Bombyx mori: one gene and its partner. The main gene of each other region encodes a partner of the protein of the gene in region 2 in a complex. Links are inferred from orthologs where the notes say so. Each region holds a gene or a part of one and is shown on either strand. Other genes may lie near its edges.

Region 1 (11,355 bases), on a different chromosome or scaffold from region 2:
GAGGTCCTACCACCCGTAATAATCTACCTACCTACCACCACCTACGCGTTGGGGGCGGTAGGCGGGGTATCAACACATGAATACCTCTTCAAATTATCATGATTTTTCATCCATCACCATTCTAATAGATAAAGCAACGAAGAAGGTAAAAGAAATGCAGAGTTTTTATCGGATAGGCATATGCTTATTAATTATTACTTACCTATGTGTGTATATTTCAACTTTCTAAACCACAAACAGAAGCAGTAGATTTTAATTTATTTTATTATTTTACATACATACTGAAATTACCCATCCTATAAATAGATACTACTTAAAATATATCTTATATTTTTCATTTGTAGTGTAACACTAATTAAGAATAGATTTTACTCGAGTTCTATCCAGAATGGATTGATACGGCTTACATTACCAAATAGACATTTTCCGGGAAATTCGAATGTTACCCGCATATTATATTCATGGAAAAAACGAAAAATTTTCATGTTTATTCTTGATACAATATTAATTAATATTTTAGGAGTCGCAATTTACAAGTTCACACCCATACGAGGCACCTAACCTATATCTAACTGCCGTGTCACTAACTCACCTCGATATTATTTACACACATTATTTTAGTACACATTGCTGAGTACTAAAATCTCTAAAACTAACATTTGTAAACAAATAGGTATAATCTAGGTACTTTCACCACAATATCCTGGACACAACCGTGTGAAGCCGTATCATCCGTTTTTTATGCGGACTAGACGGAAAAGTGTAACTAGGAAAAAACGACACAAAAAACCGTCATTTTTTATAACCTTGTAGGCAGGTGAGCATACGGCCATCCTGATGGTGAGTGGTTACCGTCGCAAATAGACGTCAGCAATGCAGGGGCAGAGCTAAGCCTTTGCCTACCGAGATCTTTTTGCAGTGATATTTCAGGCATTTCCCGAGCACTTAGGAAACTGAAACTTCTTCCTATGCTAAAGAATATGCAATATTATTTTAATAAATAATAAAATAGTGATATTATTTTTTTACTAATGAATAATATTTATTCACATTTTATGGTTCGTTTATTTATTTTTCTTAGTTCATTACGTCATACAAACACAAAAAAGATACCTAGCAAATGAACTTTTTCCAACCATAACATACATCTCTTTTTTTTTATTATCTTATGATTAACTAATAGTTATTTGCTATAATTTGAATATAACCTTTATTTGAAAACCTATTTGTTCTATTCTACATTTATTTTCATCATGATTTTGTTTCTCTACGTGAATGTCGGTGATAAAACGTAATAAGGAATTTGTAGAAATTTGTTTTGATTATGTTTCTGTACCTATGTCTCTATCCGATGATTTGCAAGCGAAGTAAATTGTTCCTTGGAAATAAGGTGACACTACAAAAGTTGCATACGCCCCATCATGACCTATACAAGTGTAGTGTTCGCTCACGCGGCCCGCACTCACTTAAAACCCCTTCAAATTAGTCAATCACGTTTTTGCAGGATAGCCGTCGGAGCCCCGTGGTTCGTCAGGAACATCGACTTGCATGACGACCTGGACCTAGAATACATGAGTTAGTATCTATAGTCGGCATCAATGCGCCACTTCGATAAAGCGGCACGACACGAGAATCCTCTCATCGCGGCCGCCGGGAACTACATAGCCGATCCTGCAGACCAAATGGTAAACAGTCTACTTCGCCCAAAACACGTGATTTCGGATCCTCCCGATCCACTAACGGTGCGTTTAGGTACCTCAAGCACCGGTCATAGTAGCCGCTCGGCGAGTAAATGAACCCACAGACACAGCTCACTGAGTTTCTCACCGGATCTTCTCAGTGGGTCGCGTTTCCGATCCGGTGGTAGATTCTGCAAAGCACGGCTCTTGCTAAGGTTCGTATTAGCAACGTCGTCAGGTTTGAGCCCCGTGAGCTCACCTACTAGCTCGGCGAATCTAGAATAACCCCTCGAGGTTACTAGAATAGGTAGGAAAAAAAGCCTATGTCATCATCATCATTAATTATCATCACCAATGAAAAGCCACCCACTGCTGGAAATAGGACTTCCTTATGTTTCGTCACAATAATCGGTACAGTGCTGCAGCTCAAGAACACGGGTTCGGTAAGTAGTTCCGCAAAATTATTACTACCTGCTCCTACCTAATACTACCTACTACTACCTGCCTGCTGAATTGGAACCGAATCGAGATAATATCAAAAGTGTATTGAAGTTCCTTGTTTCACATATTCCCTACATTTGTACTGCATTTCTTCATATCCTTCGGATCCTTGATATAAGGGTTTCTTCAAGACTATTTTTTATTGCTAAGACGTAAATGTCGCCACCCACTTTGAGACCGGAGCTCTAATGACTCAATTTTTACAGTAATATAATATGGTCGCCTTACCCCTCAAACCGAAACGCATTAACTGCTTCGCGGCAGAAATAGGCAGGATGGCGGTACCAACCCGTGCGGGCCCAGAAGATGCCCTAGCAAATTTCATCAGGGAAAATGTTAATTGCCAGCGAGATCTGACTAGCGGCAAAGTCGTATCGCTTGATACGAGTAAGTGTCTTACACCTTTACCTTACGACGATTTCAGTGCTTTGGAAAAAAAATTAAACTTTAAAAAATACAAACGTATATTTCTTGAATACAAAAAAAAAATAAAAAAAATTATATGTCAATGATAACAAACACTTCGTACTTATTGTCCTTTGGATCGTCAATGATCTGCATGGCCGAGTAAGTTATAGCTTTGACTTCTGTGCCTTGGGGATGTTTGCCAATTACGAACTCCTCGCCGTAACACCTACACACTATCTTGAACTCTTGCGTGTTAAACTCCGTTATGACTAACTTCTTGCATATCAAAAATGGTTCGTAGGAGAATAAAAACAACAGTTCGTCGAGGAAGTGGTAAAGTAATCCCATGAGATCGTCAGCGCTCGCTTCGATGGTGTGAACATCCTTGATCTGGACGTACTCAAGCTCGGTCATGTAACCGAACATCGCCATCCCGCACTGCTCGAAGGCTTCTTTAAGACTGTCGCCCCATGCGTGTAATCTAGAAATGTAATAAAAGTTATTATTATTATTATTATTTTTTTATTGCTTAGATGGACGGACGAGCTCACAGCCCACCTGGTGTTAAGCGGTTGCTGGAGCCCATAGACATCTACAACGTAAATGCGCCACCCACCTTGAGATATAAGTTCTAAGATCTCAGTATAGTTACAACGACTGCCCGAAGCCCAAGCTTCAGACCGAAACGCATTATTGCTTCACGGCAGAAATAGGCAGGACGGTGATACCTACCCGCGCGGACTCACAAGAGGTCCTACCACCGTCCGTCCCATCTAAGCAATAAAAAAAAAAATATTATTATTATTTTGGTGTACAATTAGCATTGATTTTTAAATATTTTATTTAGTTAAAGTTTTATAACAAGTTTTTTTCGAAAATCCTCAAGCAATTTCTGAATAATTTGTGAAAATAAACTCAGCACTAAAAGGATTAAATAATGAATTAGCTTAACTAGACTCGTTCTACATAACTCAGCTTAGCCTAGACCTATCCTAAAAGTGAGGTATTTTTTTTTTAAATATTAATGGAACGAAAATATTACAACACTCCTTGACTATATTATATTTAAATTATAAATCACGTGGCATTACAATATGATGTTGTAATAATAAAAAATAATTCTCATTTAATTCAGGTAATGGAATAAACTAAAGATAATATGAATTTAAACTTTTATGAAAATGTAAAAAATAATGGTGAAAAGGCTTTATTTCGTATCAAATAAATACCGAAACTCGCATAGTTCCGTTGCGACAGAAAAGACCGCATTGTCTATCGGAAGATTTGCAAGCGAAGTAAATTGTCCCTCCGTAGTAAGGTGACACTCTACAAAACTTGCATACATCCGGTCATGACCTATGCAAGTGTAGTGTTCGCTCACGCGGCCCGTACTAATTTGAAACCCCTTCAAATCATACAATCCCGTGTTTGCAGGATAGCCGCCGGAGCCCCGCGGTTCATCAGAAAGTGGGCCTCCACGATGACATAGACCTAGAGTTCGTCAGTATGTATCTAAAATAGGCAACAGTGCGCCATTTCGAAAAAGCGGCACGACACGAGAACCCTCTCATCGTGGCCGCCGGTAACTACATTCCCGATCCTGTGGACCAAATGGTAAACAGTCATCCAAAACACGTCATTTCGGATCCTCCTGATCCACTAACGGTGCTTTTAGGTACCCCAAGCACCGGTCATCGTTCTCTTCGAGCCCGTTCTTTGCGACGAAGGGCTCGGCGAGTAAATTAACCCCAGACACAGCCCACTGAGTTTCTCGCCGGGTCTTCTCAGTGAGTCGCGTTTCCGATCCAGTGGTAGGTTCTGCGAAGCACTGCTCTTGCTAGGGTTAGTGTTAGTAACGACTGCAGGTTTGAGCCCCGTGAGCTCATCTACTTGTTAGGGTTACATTGAGATGGCCTCCCAAGGCCATCAGCTTAGGCTTAAGAAAAAAAGAGCGCGTTGGGGTCACTTACTCGTAATGGCTATACAGCGTGTCCTACAATCGATATATCAACCCGAAACGCTGCCACAGTATAAATCACGTTAAGAATGTAAAAAAAGTATCGAAATCTTAATTATTAGTTTCATATAAAAACAAATTTAATAATTGTTTCAACTGTTCGATAACAGCCCTGAATTTATACAACAACAGTACTATTAGACCATTCATTCAGTTAAACGCGTCAGAAAGAGATAGACAATAACAAATACGAAAAAAATTACAAGCACATTAGGTTCATGAGGCTCAAAAACTCAAAAAACCAAAATCAAATATCAAACTTATTACGGCGAATGTTATTAAATACCACATTTATTGCAAGGACAAAAGAAGCTGCATGAAGTACCGACATAGTCGGAGACCGGCGCCGGAGGGATATTCGTGTGTGTGTGTGTGTGTGTTGTGGATTTCAATTATTTTGGAAAGTTCTACAAACTCGATTAAGTTGGTAGCACTATAGCGATGTCCTAAAATAAATCCGAAGTTGTTGGGATTTTTTCTCATCGCTAAGATGGGTGGACGAGCCAAAACAATTAAAATCTACGTAATTACTGGTGGTATGGCGTCTTGTGAGCACGAACGGGTAAGTACCACCGCCTTCGTCCGGCTCAGATCTCTCTAGGAGGTGACCTCCCCCGGGTGAACGTTTCGGGGCGACCTAAGGGGGTGAGGCCGCGCGGCGCGCTTTTTGTACTCTAGCACGCTGAACATGAAAACAGTTCTACGGAACTGCTATGTAAGAGGAACCGGTTAGTGGTGTATCGCTTTCCGAACTGGCAGGCAGATTCTGGTCCAGCGGGGTATTCCGAGACACCAGAGGCACCGCCTGGAGTGGCCAGACGGGCTGCCGTACCGAGATGGCCGACGTAGAGTCGTCGACTATCACCTCGACGACCCGTCGGTCGGGCGTCTAAAGGTGGAGCCGCAGATCTGGTTGTATTGTTGACTGCGGGAATCCCCCTAGTCTGCCCGGGTTTTGACTCCGGGTGGTGGGCGGTCGTCGGGTAAGAGACCGAGGGGTGTCGCTTGAAAGAAAAAAAATGTACCATCGCCCTGCCTATTTCTACCATACAGCATTAATGCATTTCGGTTTGAAGGATAGGAGAGCCGTTGTACTATGAAAACGAGATTTAGATCTCATGTACAAGGCAGGCAACGGCATTTACGTTCTTGGTGTCGGGCTATGGGCTTCAGTGACCACTTATATGGGACACCCTGTATATACGCCTCGTCAACAGCAATCCCTGATTTATAAATTTTCTCCCTTGTTTATTTCGCATGATTCTATCCCTACATAACATAAGTTATTTGCGAACATGTGTTGGGTCATGTTTTAAATTGGAAAAAATTATACTAGCCAGAAGAATAGATCCAAAGCGTCATCAATGATTAGTTACTGAAAGTCTCACACAGTGTAGTGTGAATGAGAATTCCCAATTTACACAAAAAAGCCACCTTGTCGTCTAATGGCAGAGACCAGTTCCTCATTCCAGATTGAAGATATACCTATATAGATGTTTTACAGATACATAGACATATAAAAAATTACACATCATTACATTTCACATTGTAATTAAATTTTAAGTACCTACATGGACTGAGGTCAAAAAATACTATTATTTTGCATTAATTTGTTTTTTTTTATATATAGATATGTAATCAATTATGTCTGAAGTTTAATTAGATTGATTCACAATACTATCTCAATACTACATCAGTAGCTTTAAATTAAAACTAAAATATAACACATGAATTAACCACTTACTGAACATCAGCAGTATGGTCCAAATCTGCAAAATTTACATTTACCTTATATTTATAAGCACCAATCATCACAGTAAAATTGCAATTCAATCACATAAATTTATAGGAAAAACTATAATTTAGATACTGTATACTCACATTCATATTTAACAGGAGGTATATCATAATATTCTTCGGAAATACCGCCTAATTCTTCATCCATTATAGTTTTTAATAATGTAACAAAATTTTACTAATATATGTGTTTACGTACAAATACTCTTACTTCACTACCTTCATTGATAATACAATTTTATCACTACATAAATTCTTCAACTCTCTCTCTGCCTTGAAGAATTATGAATCACTGTCCATAGATTATACACTTAATATATACGAGAACTGTCACTGAGCAAGATTAAGTGTCTAATCTATGGTAAGTAATTCTACGTTAAAAGACTTTATGAATCTTGGCTCAATGAATTTGGCCCCTTTTTCTTTGTTATCGGATTTTTTTTTTATTTCGTTGTCCGTCGTTTGTTCGTTAATGTTCGAATGTAAAAAATGTTTGTTCGTCTTTTATTTATATAAAATTAATTAAACAAGTGATGACCCTTAAGTGGGCCCCCCTTACTAGATATGTTAATTTTTATCGCTCAGATTAGTTAATTTGCATCAATTATTGTTTGTTCGACAATTATTGGTGATTATTCGATCATAAAAACAATTAAATTCCTAATTATTAATTATTATATATCTAATAAGCAAACCATGACCTCACGCCACCTTTTTTTGATTTTCAGATTTTTTTATTTTTAATTATTTGTTCATAATTAGTTCGTTAATGTTCGAATGTAACAATTTAAGCTCACCCCAGTAACTGTTGAGAACATTACTCTTGAAGTTGTAGACGAATATATACTTATATACCTGGGACAGGCAATCCGATTAGGTAAGTCCAACTTCGCAAGAGAGGTCAGTAGGCGGATCCAACTCGGCTGGGCAGCGTTCGGTAAATTAAAAAATGTGTTCTCGTCCAAAATCCCTCAGTGCCTGAAGATCAAGGTATACAACCAATGTGTGCTACCAGTGATGACTTACGGTTCTGAGACGTGGTGCTTCACAAGAGATCTTTTTAGGAAGCTCAGTCACAGCGAGCTATGGGGGGGCTATGCTTGGTATTTCTCTACGAGACCGAATCAGAAATGAGGAGATCCGTAGAAGAACCAAGTTGCTGACATAGCCCGTATGATTAGCACGCTGAAGTGGCAGTGGGCAGGCCACATAGCGCGAAGATCGAACGGCCGATGGGGCAGAAAGATCATGGAGACCACGTACTGGCAAGCGCAGTTTGGGACGGCCACCTACGAGATGGACCGACGACCTGGTAAGAACCGCTGGGTCACGTTGGATGCAAGTGGCAACGGACCGGCCGCACTGGAGATCACTTGGAGAGGCCTATGTTCAGCAGTGGACAATGGACAGACTGAGATGATGATGATGAAAAGACGACAATTTTTACATTCGAACATTAACGAACAAATGACGAACAATTAAAAATAAAAAAAATCTGAAAATCAAAAAAAGGTGGCGTGAGGTGATGGTTTGCTAGATATAAAATAATAAATAATTGGGAATTTAATTGTTTTTATGATCGAACAATCACCAATAGTCGTCGAACAAATGATAATTGATCAAAATTAATTAATCTGAGTGATAAAAATAAAGATATCTAGTAAAGGGGGCCCACTTAACGGTGATCATTTGTTTAATTAATTATAAATAAACAAAAGACGAACAAACAATTAAAAATAAAAATAAAATCGAAAACCAAAAAAAGGGGGCCAAATTCACTGAGGCAACTTACTTCAATGGAGATTCACAGGATGACTTTTTTTTTACAGGAAGACATAAGTTATTTTCATAGACCTACTTCAGTGGTTATTTTGAGTAATTTGACATATGGCACTAATTGACAGTTCGAAAACAATTTTTGAAAAACAATTGGTACCTACAAATACTTCGAAATTTCGATATTCATTTCTTTTCGGTAATAGATATTTTTGTAACAAATTTTAACCTACACGTTTTGTATTTTCTTTTACGTAGCAAAAACATTAACAATGGATCCTATAGCAGTTTTACAAAGTAGAATTGAACAACTAGAAGCTAAATTAGGTTTGTCTCCAGAAATATCTATAGATGGTCAGCAAGGTGACTCTGTTACTGCGAATCTTTTAAGCGCTGCACAAGCCATCAATAATGCAACGGCAGGACACGAAAAGCTTCATGAAGCTATGCAAATGGCCTCAGAGTTGAACAACTATAGTGATCCGAATTTCGTTGAAAATGTAAGTGCCGTTAATAACCATTGATAATCCTTACGTCCCATGAATTTCTTTCAATGCATAATTAATTCTGAATTAAAACCCTATATACCTTTTGTAAAATTTTACCAAGTATGTTTAACTCAAATTTAAATCCATTTTCTCTTTCCATACAACTAGTTTATAGAATTTAAATTTCATCTGATATATTCAGACTTATCATTAAAGTAGTGACTTATAGTCAGCATCTGTTGTGCAATGTGTGACAAATAAGTCACAAAGTAACATAAAGACAAGGTAACATTCTCTATCAGACCAAAAAAGAAAGTAGAAAAATAACTGGCTGGTCTTAAACAAAAAATTAAAATATTTTTTTTTTTAAATATATCTCATTGGACAAGTGAGGCAACATATGATCTTGTTCATGATATTCAAAGTTGTAAATTAATAAATATTATATAAATTTAACTCAACAAAGACTTTGACCTAATGCCTCAAAGTACACATGACTTTAACAGCATTTTCATCAAATGAAAAATAATATATAATAATTTTTTTGTTGCCTTTGAAGATTGCCTTAATTAGGCTCACTATTGATTAGTGATTACTGTCTTTGAACTGCAAGCTTATCTGTCTTGCCTATATAATTACCAAAATCTACAAAAAAATTGTATAATGTTGATCTTATCAGAATGTTGGTTACAGTTGCAGAAGAATGATTTACATAAACAAGAAGTACTTGCAGCTGAACCAGTGATCAGACATCACTGTCGCTGTATGCAGCAATGTAAACAGGTCAGTAGATGAGTTTGTTACAATTCTGTCACAATATACTTATAAACTGGTTGCTAGTGCTGTTTAAAAACAAGCTCAGACTAGCCGGTGTATTTTAATTATATTTTCTGTTGTGAAGTTCAGTAAAATTGGTATGATAATTAACCTGTATTCTCTTATGAATTTTTTTACATGGCTGTTTAGATAGTTGCATCCGAATTTATAAAATTTTCTACTGTATTGTAAGGCTTGGTTAAAAATTGAATCTAAATCAAGTTTATGATCAAATAACAGGTCAATATATATTAGGTACATACATAAATGCATGTTGGTAACATTATTACCCTAGCTGGGTATTTGAGAACAGAAGCCATGTGATGGACATTGAGTTTCTTATTTAGGTCCACCAGTGTATATAATATGTACTAGAAGAAATGACTAGCACAGTATTTTCTAGGGATATGGTTAATTTTAAAAGATTAAATACATTGGTTGTTTGAATTTCTATGAAATAGGCAACACCAGTTCTGGAGTCGGAGGCCATACAAAAAGCTGCTCAAATGCAGCCCACTGTAGACAAGATGCACGCTGCAGCTGCAGAAGTAAAGGCGGAAGCTGATGCAGTAAATACTTTTATAAAATTTTTATATCATTTTTATTGCACATTTTTGCTTTTTTACTCCTTTTTGAAGGCAGACAACCAAATGGGCTACTTAATGGTTATCAGTGGGACTGTTACTCATAGACAATAGCAGATCCATTCTCTCTCTCTTCCTACACCGTTTCCTACACTATACTTTTGTAGTGTATTATGGAGTCAAGGACGGGGTTTGTTTAGACACTTAGCTAGGGCGGATAGGCAAACTTGAGGTCTCATCACAACAGGAGGTTTGTCAAGAGCTGCCTGTGGGACCCCAAAGTGGCTTCTTGTCGATTTTGACAAGTACCGTAACCTGTGTTCTAATTGCTTCTACTAGTAACATCTAACAACGCCGAGAGTGAGTCAGCATGATTCATGAATATATACGGTTTTCGAACTCAATTGAACCTTCTTCATATGAAACACATCCACTATAACTGCTTTTAGGCATTCCAAGAACTGTTGACCGTTTTCGTCGATTCCGACGAATGCGACAAAGGGTCCGCCGTGAAAATTAACTGACAGACACAGCCCATTAAGTTTCTTGCCGGATATTCGCAGTAGTCGCGATTCTCAACTTTGCCTCGAACTTTTTATTTTATTGATAAGAATACCAAAACCGTCATAATAAATTGTATTCAGACTTATTTAAACCCGAATACCCAACCTAATTTTTACTTTTTTTAAATTCAACTGTTTCAGTTTAGTGTTTAATAAAAATATGTATGATAAAAATATAATATTGTAAATGTTTATCCAGGTATCGCATGGAATTCAGCAACTAGCCGAAACTTGCGGATCGGCCGCCAATGATTCATCTCAGCAGTTGGCTAATGTTGCTCAAATGGTGGAGAAAGTTGAAACAAAAATGTTTCCTAAACGAAGGAATGGTCTTGATTGAAAAAGCTTTAAATTTATAACAGAGATATATTTAATAAATCCGAGGTGCTAGCACCAATGCTTAAATTTTACTAATAAAAACAATGGTACTCTTATTTCGTTGTTTTTTTTACTATCTGTTCTGTTGTATCTGCAATATTATCATAGTGCACAACTTCGAAAATCTGAACACTTCGAGCTCTTTAAATGGTTACTGGAGCCCATAGACATCTACAACGTAAATGCGCCACGCACCTTGAGATATAGTTCTAAGGTCTCAGTATAGTCAAAACGGCTGCCCCACCCTTCAAACCGAAACGCATTACTGCTTCACGGCAGAAATAGGCGGGACGGTGGTACCTACCCGTGCGGACTCACAAGAGGTCCTACCACCAGTAATTACGCAAA
Region 2 (10,755 bases):
TCCTATTTTATACTTATTTTCTATTAATTCGTTTGTTCATCATTTGTTCATGATTATTCACTGTTAATAATTGTTTGTTCTGCATTTATTTATTTAAAAAAAATATTTAAAAATATACCTACAAGTTAGCCCCTCTAATGCAATTTTATAATATTTTTTCATCCTTAATGACTCGTAAATATTCATTTTCGATTGTTCTTATATAAAACACGTTTGTTCTCTTTCGAAATTACTCGTTTTTTGTTTAATTTACTATTTTTATTAGTTGAATAAATGTATGCAAAATATGTGTACTGCGCATGCGTCAACTATAATGCCTAAACTTTCTACGCGGTTTTAATCGTGAAAAAAAAACAAATATAAATCCTGACGGAGCAATTAATTGGTATACAGTTTAATTAAAAAAATTAAAAAATAAATAAATGAAATAATGTGCATTGGCGTTAAGTTAGACCAAATACATTTTTTCCATCCTCTTACCTATCGTATTAAAATGTTATTTTACTAATGTTAGGAATATAATTTCGACTGTGTAAAAAAACTTATTTTATTGTATACCTATATTATCTCTTGAAAGATAAATAATGAACATATTTACTTATTTGTTTATATTACCTGTGTGAACTCCCTTCTGAACATCTTTTTTATACTTTCATAATGATAAGTAGGAGGATGGAAAAAATGTATTTGGTCTAACTTAACGCCAATGCACATTATTTAATTTTTTATTTTTTTTTTTAATTAAACTGTATACCAATTAATTGCTCCTTCAGGATTTATATTTGTTTTTTTTCACGATTAAAACCGCGTAAAAAGTTTAGGCATTATAGTTGACGCATGCGCAGTACACATATTTTGCATACATTTATTCAACTAATAAAAATAGTAAATTAAACAAAAAACGAGTAATTTCGAAAGAGAACAAACGTGTTTTATATAAGAACAATCGAAAATGAATATTTACGAGTCATTAAGGATGAAAAAATATTAAAAATTGCATTAGAGGGGCTAACTTGTAGGTATATTTTTAAATATATTTTTTAAATAAATAAATGCAGAACAAACAATTATTAACAGTGAACAATCATGAACAAATGATGAACAAACGAATTAATAGAAAATAAGTATAAAATAGGAAAAAAAAATTTTTTTGAGGGGTTAACTTCATTCACCTTATACTCTAAGGGTGAACGAATGGGGTTGGCCGGTTAAAGCTTTTCTCAGATGTCGCCGGCGTAGCTTGTTCCCTTGTAACAGATAGCCGCCATTTTGTGTGTTTTGTGTTCGTGATATTTCGGCATTTTGTGACTTTGATACGGTTCTTTTTACTTTCTAAGTAGTGCTAAACAGTTTTACAACATGTATTCCAACTGGATAGTTAAAGAATTAAAAAATGAGTTGAGAAAACGTGGTGCATCTTTACGAGGAAAAAAAGTGGATTTTGTCGAAAGTTACAATGTTGATGTTTTATTTTAACTTAAAAAACTTCTCTCAAACTGTTTCCGGTAGCTATTGTAATAATAATATTAAATTGTGTACCTTAGGAACTTTATTCCTTGTAGCACGTGCAAAAAGAATTGCTCATATTACACACATTACCTACCAACTAATGTATTATTTTACTTTTTTCAGATTAGAGCTAGGTATATGACCAAAATTTTAATTTTGAAACAAAATGAAAAAATTGCTCTAGCAAAATATGCTAATATATATGATTTGCTAGTGGAGCCATGTGGCATTTTCATTAGACAAGAGCGCCCATATCTTGCTGCATCTCCTGATGGTGTGTTGGGCGAAGAAACTATAATTGAAGTGAAATGTCCTTATGCTAGCAGAAAACATGAAATAAATATAACAACGGTGCCTTACTTAGAACAATGTAACGGGATATTGTCTCTAAAAAAAACCTGCCATATTATTATCCAATCCAAGGGCAGTTATACTGCTCAGGCAAAACATACTGCAACTTGGTCATTTACACCTACAAGGACATCAAAGTGATTTATGTTGAAAAAGACAATAATTTTATAAATAATATGTTAAATAAATTATTTTATAAATAATATAGTTAAATTAATTAATCTTTTATGAAAATATTTTCAAAGAAGCATTGTATGAAAAATATCTGTATTTAGTCCGGTCAATTTAGACCAAAAAATGAGAGTGAAGTTACATAAAGTCCCAACAAGCTGAATTTCAGTGAAATTGTTCAAAATATAATTATAAACAATGTCTAGAAGTTCCCCATCATTCCCCTGTAAGGAATTTTTTTTATTCAAGGTCAAAGGTCAAAAAAATAAGTTTTTCGCGATTTTCAGCAAAACGGTAAGTTTTATCATAAAAGTACTTCAGACAAAAATTGTAGACCATAAAATTATCTATAAAAAATGTATCAATACTTTTTATCTTACGAGCCACCGTTTCTGAGATATAACGATTCAAAAAGTTATAAAAGTTGTTATCGCCATAATATGCATGAGTACGCCACGTATATACATCTAGAGTTGTTATATTTTATATGATATATATAATAGCTATATATAATAAGTCCTTAAAAAAACTACCTGTTTAGATAAGCATCGATATGCATGTTTCGTTAAAAATACTAAAAATAAAAAACAAGTTCAATTAGCTTGTCTTCCTCCAACCTCAGTTGCTGCTCACCAACATCTTTTTCGAGTATATTACCAAGTTCAAGTGTGGCTTGGTTATCAGCTAGACCCTACAGACTGGGGTTGGAAGTTGGTCAACAATATATTAGAGCCAGTTCAAACTTTACTTCCACCTGCGCCGGAAAAACTGAAGTGAAAACGGAAGAAATGAAGATGAAGAAGAAGCAGGAGAAGAAGAATAAGAAGAAGATCAAGAAGAAGAACAAGAATTTGAAACTTACGAATAAGACGAATAAACTTCAACACTTTTTTTAATTTACATCGCTTTTATCTTTCCCAATCTGAAAATTTCCGTTATTATGCAATAGTTTTACATTAAACAGGATCACAACTGACCCGTGGAGTAAGCCTACTGGGGAAACCACGTTAAAAAAACGCGCTAAGTACACTACCTCATAGGTGTCGTGGAAACGTGTGCTATGTGAACCCTCTGACTAGCTAATTTTTGATCTATCTTTAACTGAACACCTGGGATTTGTGATTTACCTTTTAAAAAAGATGGCATATTTATACTAATTCCTTTAGGGGCAAACAGATCCTGTACATTAAAACCTCTGTCTGCGATAATACTATCTCCAGAATCACAAATCTGGAGCAGCTTACTTCGTTCTAGTATCTGTCGATCACTTGCAGAACCAGCGTAGCCGTTTAAAACATATGATAATAATCCCCCTGGTGAAGCTCCTACCAAAAATTTCACGGTATTTTTATGTTTATAACAACTAAATGACGCTATTTGAGCATCAGGTTGACTAGGCTTCTGTATGCCTATTTCAGTCCCATATATAATCACCCTTGTGGAGGGATAATGTGTTCTAAAACAATTAGGCATATAATAATTTAATAAGCTGCGGCTAGGGCAAATGTCAATTAGGCTCTAGATATCACTGACAAAATTTATCCATGTTACAACAATATTAGACACTTCAGTTTTACTTAATTCAAAATCTGTTGTGTTTCTTCTAAGCTTAATTAGTAACATTAAAAATTGATCTTCTCTTGATATGCCGACCACTCTACTCCAGCGAGTTTTTATAGTCAGATTCCACAAAGTGTTTACGACATAACCTCGAATTTTTTGTGGGAGTACTTTTTTCGTGTCAAATGGCCTTTAACCGCAGTCTTCCAATTTTCTTGTCCTTCGAGAATTGATGTACTCCAATTTCTGAGGATATTGGCACAAAACAACGCGTCATTGTGCTTAAAATAATTTTTAATCAAAAGTTCCAATACAAATATTGAATGTTATGGGAACAATGCACACCAGCGCCACTTTGACAGTAGCCAACCCCATTTATTTCGCTCATCTAAAAGAAGCAGTTGATCGGAGTGTTACACTAATTTAAGTGTGAATTATTTTTTGTTGCGTTATAATAAAAAAATAATACAATTTCAATTATCTAATGTCTTAGATCTACTCATTTTGGTACAAATCAAATGGTTTTTGTTGAAAAGATTAATTATTCGATATTTCGATCTCAGATCGCGTTCCTAATGTCAATTGTCAAATATTGGTCTCTACCATAGATTATACACTTATGTCTACTATCTATGCTATCGTCATGTCGAATTGCATTTGGTTAATTTTGTGAAATTTACTACAATTTGCTATCTAAAAACTTACAGTTTTTTAACAATGTCAAATTTATTTAAATTGAAACTAAGTGCATTAGGTCATCCAAATCCAGAGTTCTTTAACTGCGAAGGTTTTGTTTAATTTGATGACCCGTTCGTTAAAACTCGTGAGTGAAGATTGTAAATAACAAGTCTCTGCAATTTTTAGATGAGAAGGAGTACAGAAGTGTGGTGCTGTGGTTAGAAGATCAAAAAATAAGGCATTACAAAATTGAGGACCGAGAAGGGTTGAGAAATATTGATTCCGATTTCTGGAAGGAGGCATACAATACGTATCAGAAAGATTTGGTGAGTCCAGCGGCAGAAGGGACGCTGAATGAACAACTCAATTGGCTATTGTCGTATGCGGTGCGGTTGGAATACGCGGATAATGGTAAACAGAAAATTTTAATTAAATATTTCATGTCAAATTATTTCTTTACTTGCTACCGTATTTTTCTTTTTTAATACTTAGACATTTAAACAAGCTCATTGCCCAATTGATATTAAGTCGTTACGGGAGCATACAGAGATAACTTGAATGCTGCATGTTTGAGACATGAAGTCTAAGACTCCATTAAAACATAGCAATTATTCCACCCTTCAGACTAGAACACAAGGCTCTCCTCTGCGTCATAAATAGGCAGGGTGGTGGTGTTTACCCATGTGGGTTTACAAAATGCTCTATGATCAGTAATCATCAAAATTTATAAGAATGTCTAATTTTATTTTACAGTTGACAAATATAAAAATGCTAAAGTTGAAGAGAAAAAGAAAGCTCCCAATGTCGTGTCTTCTAATCCATTAGACAATCTGGACTGTAAGTACATCCATAATAAAATTTAGAAAAACATTTTAATTTCTAACTATCAAAAACTAATTTTGTAATTACAATTAAATAATTAAACTTGTTTAAATAATTGCCAACAAGAATTGAATTTGTTACTAATGGTTCTAAAATTTTATTAATATGTTAGCTTAGATTATCTTGATTCTTCTTTATTTCTAATGCTTTTAATATTCCAAACTTCAACTTCAATTCTTTAATAAAATTCCGTTGAGGCCCTGATCTCTATACTCATCACGTTTCTTTGGTGATCTTTGGTAATATTCCAAATCTATTTTCAGTCTCAAGTCAAGCATTCAAAGCAGGTGTCAACAGAGTCTGTACAGTAGCGAGCATTGGTCCTCATCCAGATCCTAAAATAAGACTTGCTGCCTTAGCCAAAGTACTGAAAACTTCTCCGCATCCGGAACCCCTACAAACTGAAGTCAATTTAGTTAATCAACCCTCAGATGTGTTAAAGTTACTGTTTGTTCAGGATCTTAGAAATTTACAAACAAAAATTAATGAAGCTTTAGTTGCTGTCCAAACTGTTACTGCTGACCCTCGAACTGATACCAAACTCGGTCGAGTAGGAAGATAAAATGTTCTTCACTAAAATTTTGTAAAATTATCTTAACATTTTCTTCACGAAATCACAATGGCGAAGAACTGAAGCTATTGTTTTTATACTATGTTATGTAAAACCATATTAAAATGATAATAATTGATCTGCTGAGTACTAAAAATAAACTGTGCATTAAATTTCGTTTTTTCATTTAGATTTTTATTTTTATTTGGGTTATACCAATTTAACTTTAGTCTTATTCACTTTTTTATTGTTAAGATGTATGTAATGTAAACCTGAGGCTTGTGGTCTAAGTCTTATTGGTGGTCGTTCTACACTTCAAACCAGAATGACCAGAATGACTTATTATTATATACTAGTTATTATGGGTAGTGTTGGTATGTTGTTGGCATGTGCAGGCTCACAAGGCTCCCCTGTACCACCCATAAAATTGGTTTAGTTTTATTTGTTGGTGTTGTAAGCAGACCAGCAAACATCTAGTAGCTGCTTAATACTACATAGATTAGTAAGTTACAGCAATAACAAGATAACTGAAAAAGTTTTAAATTGAAATATGTACTCTTTTTATCTTATGTTTCTGTAGAATGTTCAGAATGTTAATTACATAATAATTCGTAAGTTTTATAATCAAGGATGTGTAAAAATAAATTTGATAAACATCAAAATTAAATATTCTTGGTAGTGAAGGAATAACATAGTGTAATAAAAATCAAATCTGCAAAATTATAATTTGCATTACTGGTGGGAGGAGCTAGAACAGACTGCCCAAGACCAATACAAATGGAAAATTTTGATTCGAGCCCTACACCCCAGCAGAGGGTAATAGGAAAGCATGATGATGATGACTGGTGGTAGGATATTTTGTGAGTCAGTGCAGTTAAGTTTCAGTACCCTAACTACTTCTGCAATGAAGCAGTGATGCTTTTTGGTTTGAATGGCGGGGCAGCCATTGTAACTATACTGAGACCTTAGAGGTTATATCTCAAGGTGGGTGGCGCATTTACGTTGTAGATGTCTATGGGCTCCAGTAACCACCTAACACCAGATGGGCTGAGAGTTCAGCCAGTGATCTTTATAAAAAAAATTCAATTTATTGTATTAAGGGAAATGGAAGGTCATACACATTGAGGCAACAATATTTATTATTGGAAAATTATCTTTGTTGCATATTTCTAACATATAATCAAGCAGAATTACCTATGTAATAAAGCTGAACTAATATTAGATGTCTGTTCTGAACCAATAAGATTCAAGCTTGAACTAAAAGGCTCTTTCCACATAAATTTTGTATTGGAGCTATCAAAGTACAATATGCATTAGAGGGAAATAGATAATTACGTCAGACTAGCACGGATGTGTATTATGGCCTGTGCATTACAAACAACAATTACATGCTCAAATTCAGATTTCCTAAGTCTAAGTATGCAAAATTATTATTATTACACAATAACAGTGAAACAGTCAATCATCAACAGTAATTTACTAATCTACTATTACACTAATATAAATTTATAGTTCTCATTGTATTACTTTATGAACTGAAACTGAAAGTTTCAGATATTTTAGACATCAATGCATTCCGCCTCCCTTTTCTAGCATCTGTGCAAATCTATTTGTTATTAATAGTGAGGTATCAATGAATCTTTCCACACAGTTTGTGATACATGTTTCGGTCCGAGAGTCCAGCTTAGCTCCAGGTTTTTCAATACACTTGTCCCAACAGAAACTATTGAATTCGTGTATCTGAAAAATACAACAAAATCATCTAAAGTTAATTGAAACGTCTTTGTTCTACTTGGACATATCTCTAACTTAACAGTAATGCCTATTAATTTAACATGTTTATTAATATAAAAATGATTTAAAGAAACAAAATATTTTTGGTATTTATTAGATATTCAGCGATTCCTATTGCAATAAAACAATATTCTTTATATTACCTGTGCTTGGAACTGTGCCTTTTGTTTTTCTTGTATTAAGAAATCCTGAAGTTCGGAATCTGCACCTTTTGGACTAGGAAAATCAATGTCGCTCATTTTTGTCTTTTGCTGAGTATTGTATTTTTATATCTGAAATATTCCACCAAACTTGACCAAACTAGAAGTTTTGAGGTTATTCTTGTTTAATTCATCCATTGGACAGGCAAAGGAAACACAGACCATTATCGACAAAATTTTTGTTATTACAGTAGAAGTCATGTATAATTCATAAAACGGAATGAAATAAAAAATTTATATTCCCACTTTTGCACTATCAATTCGATGCTTTTATATAATTCATTCTTTCATCAATTCAATTTCACTTATATATGAGTCGTCTATTATCAAAGGTGGCAATCTGTGCATTTGGACAAAAAAAATTTATTGATATTTCAATACAGATTTATTTGAATATAATCGTCTCCTTCAAAGAATACGGTTCAAAACCTGCATTAAATAAAGGTTAATAGTTAACCTGTTATTTATCTAAGATGTCGTTCCGAAGAGTTTTGTGACTGCCAATGGAATACAAAGTCAATAATTCGTTTTTCTGATTTACCAATCATTGTCCAAAAGTCAGATTGCCGCCTGTGGCTTGTAATATATGAGTCGACTATGACTCATATATTACAAGCCACAGGATTTAAAACTAGCCATAGACACCCAATTCGAGTGCATTTAAATGTTTGTACAGCCCTAATATTTTGCGCGAGCTGCTGAGATTCTTGCTGGGCTGATACTATGGACTAAATTTTATATCGAACTCTTCGATGAATACGGTGACCTGTAGTTTAGCTGTTGCTAGCGTTACAACTAGTAGCACCCGTTCTGTAGTCGTCGTGGCCTAAAGGATAAGACATCCGGTGCATTCGTGTGTAGCGATGCACCGGTGTTCGAATCCCGCAGGCGGGTACCAATTTTTCTAATGAAATACGTACTCAACAAATGTTCACGATTGACTTCCACGGTGAAGGAATAACATCGTGTGATAAAAATTAAACCTGCAAAATTATAATTTGCGTAATCACTGGTGGTAGGACCTCTTGGGAGTCTGCACGGGTAGGTACCACCACCCCGCCTATTTCCGCCGTGAAGCAGTAATGCGTTTCGGTTCGAAGGGTGGGGTAGCCGTTGTAACTATACTGAGACCTTAGAACTTATATCTCAAGGTGGGTGGCGCATTTACGTTGTAGATGTCTATGGGCTCCAGTAACCACTTAACACCAGGTGGGCTGTGAGCTCGTCCACCCATCGAAGCAATAAAAAATAAAAAAAAAACCGACTGCATTAAAAGTGGTTCAAGTGGATCAAACAAGTCTGTCTAAGAATCCAACGGTGGCTTGTTACTGCGTGAGAGTAAGGGGCATAGTTAGCGGCGGCCACAGTAAGTGGGTTATCACATTATATCGCTGTCGTAAATTAACGTCTGTAATATTTTGGAAAAATTCGAGATGTACATTTCTCTGAGGAATTTTGTATGTGTTCCGTCATGGTGTTCCGACACCTACATTGAAGTTTAATGGGGTTTATGTGGGTGCGTGCCACGTGAGCTAACACCATAGTCGCACATGTGATGTTTGAATTTATTCAAATTCTGTAAAAGGTCACTTTACCACAAATGAACTCCGAGTAACTCCACTTGCAGATGATAGGGTAAAGCTTGATGAGCGAGGCTTCACGGATTAACTTTACAACTAAGACGGAAGGTCATGATGGAAGGCGACATTCCTGCGTTCGAGCTTCCTCTTTGAAAAAGCAGAGCTGTATTTTGGTAGTGACAACTTCGAAGCGCTACTTGTAAAATTAACTCCTAGGGTTCCGGCTACGGTATAAAGAAGTTGTTTCTACCGGGATAGTACAGCTGTGTTTTCGGCAAAGCATTATTATTTCTTCGGCGGCGACAGGGGAATGTGGTAGCAGCAGGAAGAGAGCAGTCTTGCCTCCGGCTGTGATTAAGCGGTGAGAGACACGAGTTCCCTCGGAGATGAGTGATTCGAAAAAGTGTCGAAAAATAAACAAGACTGTCCGGGATGTGCATGTCGCATAAAGTATATTGGAACCTCTGGGTCTGCGGAGGGACTACGTTTTTCTCTGTATTTTGAACCATATGTTCCATGGGGAGTTCTCTGAGAAATTGTTTGAGACGATTCTATGATCTCGTTTTTACCATCGCACCGCCCGCCACCGGAGTAGAGTTCATCCATACTACCTGGAGCCACTGCGTTCGTCCACAGTACGTTTCCAGAGATCATTTTTGCCACGTACCGTACGATTTTAGAATGAACTCCCCTCCGCGGTGTTCCCTGAGTGCTATGACATGTTCTTCTTCAAACGACGCTTATGGACAGTACTTAGCGGTAGGCAGCGGCTTTGCTCTGCCCCTGGCATTGCTACTGAAGTCGGTGGGCGACGGCAACCACTCACATTAGGAGGGCCGTATGCTCGTCTGCCTACAGGGGCAATAAAAAAAATACTATTACAGTGTTCCTGTGTAAAAATCTAGTTCTCTGTAGCACTTAGAAAATGTGTTCCGTGAGTCAGTACATCTGTTAAACGTACGAGTGTTTGGAGAAGAACTCGATTAGTGACCAGGGCAGATGGATATTTTTTCTACGGGCTGTGAATATTGAGTATTGGGCCTACCCACTCGCTAGTATATCGTTAGTATATAAGACAATCTGTTTATTCAATTATTGAAACCCTTTATTGAGAATTATGAGGTATAATCGTTCATAAATTTTAAAATCTTTCCAATGATTAACTCTCTAATATTCGCTTCTGAAAATATGCATTGTGCTGCGTCTAAAGATAATTTTGCTACTTGAATCCGTGTAAGTGCAAATGATTCAGCACATAGCCTGTATTCTTGAGACAGAGATGTCGCAAATACTCCTTTGTCATCAGTCTAAAACAAACAAACAACGATATAAATAGACAAATAAAATCAACACATAAACATTAGGTAGGTATGTACACATCCCATTAAAATATTATTTTTCTTACACAAAGTACAACAGACAATCCAGCTTCAATAAGTTCTTTGAAATGATGCGACTCGTAATCGGGCGTTATTTTTGT

What was found. Proteins that work in one complex are often made in the same cells at the same time.
Region 1: RNA transcription, translation and transport factor protein (region 2) and archease share a complex: the UniProt entries of both Homo sapiens proteins name them as parts of the tRNA-splicing ligase complex. The link is inferred for Bombyx mori from reciprocal best matches to the Homo sapiens genes RTRAF and ZBTB8OS.

The regions. Positions count from the first base shown.
Region 1 is NC_085121.1:13,347,128-13,358,482, reverse strand, and holds archease, read right to left. Parts: upstream 6,675-11,355; 5' UTR 6,551-6,674; coding exon 6,487-6,550; intron 6,375-6,486; coding exon 6,350-6,374; intron 3,070-6,349; coding exon 2,679-3,069; 3' UTR 2,630-2,678; downstream 1-2,629. Other genes in the region: uncharacterized protein LOC101743665, read left to right, coding at 8,451-8,678, 9,360-9,449, 9,944-10,051, 10,829-10,969. UniProt on the Homo sapiens protein: Component of the tRNA-splicing ligase complex required to facilitate the enzymatic turnover of catalytic subunit RTCB. Together with DDX1, acts by facilitating the guanylylation of RTCB, a key intermediate step in tRNA ligation.
Region 2 is NC_085119.1:4,406,186-4,416,940, forward strand, and holds RNA transcription, translation and transport factor protein, read left to right. Parts: upstream 1-4,157; 5' UTR 4,158-4,308; coding exon 4,309-4,378; intron 4,379-4,455; coding exon 4,456-4,680; intron 4,681-5,022; coding exon 5,023-5,106; intron 5,107-5,414; coding exon 5,415-5,713; 3' UTR 5,714-5,874; downstream 5,875-10,755. Other genes in the region: translocase of inner mitochondrial membrane 8 homolog b, read right to left, coding at 7,268-7,441, 7,639-7,734; adenosine deaminase-like protein, read right to left, coding at 10,391-10,582, 10,681-10,755. UniProt on the Homo sapiens protein: RNA-binding protein involved in modulation of mRNA transcription by Polymerase II. Component of the tRNA-splicing ligase complex and is required for tRNA ligation.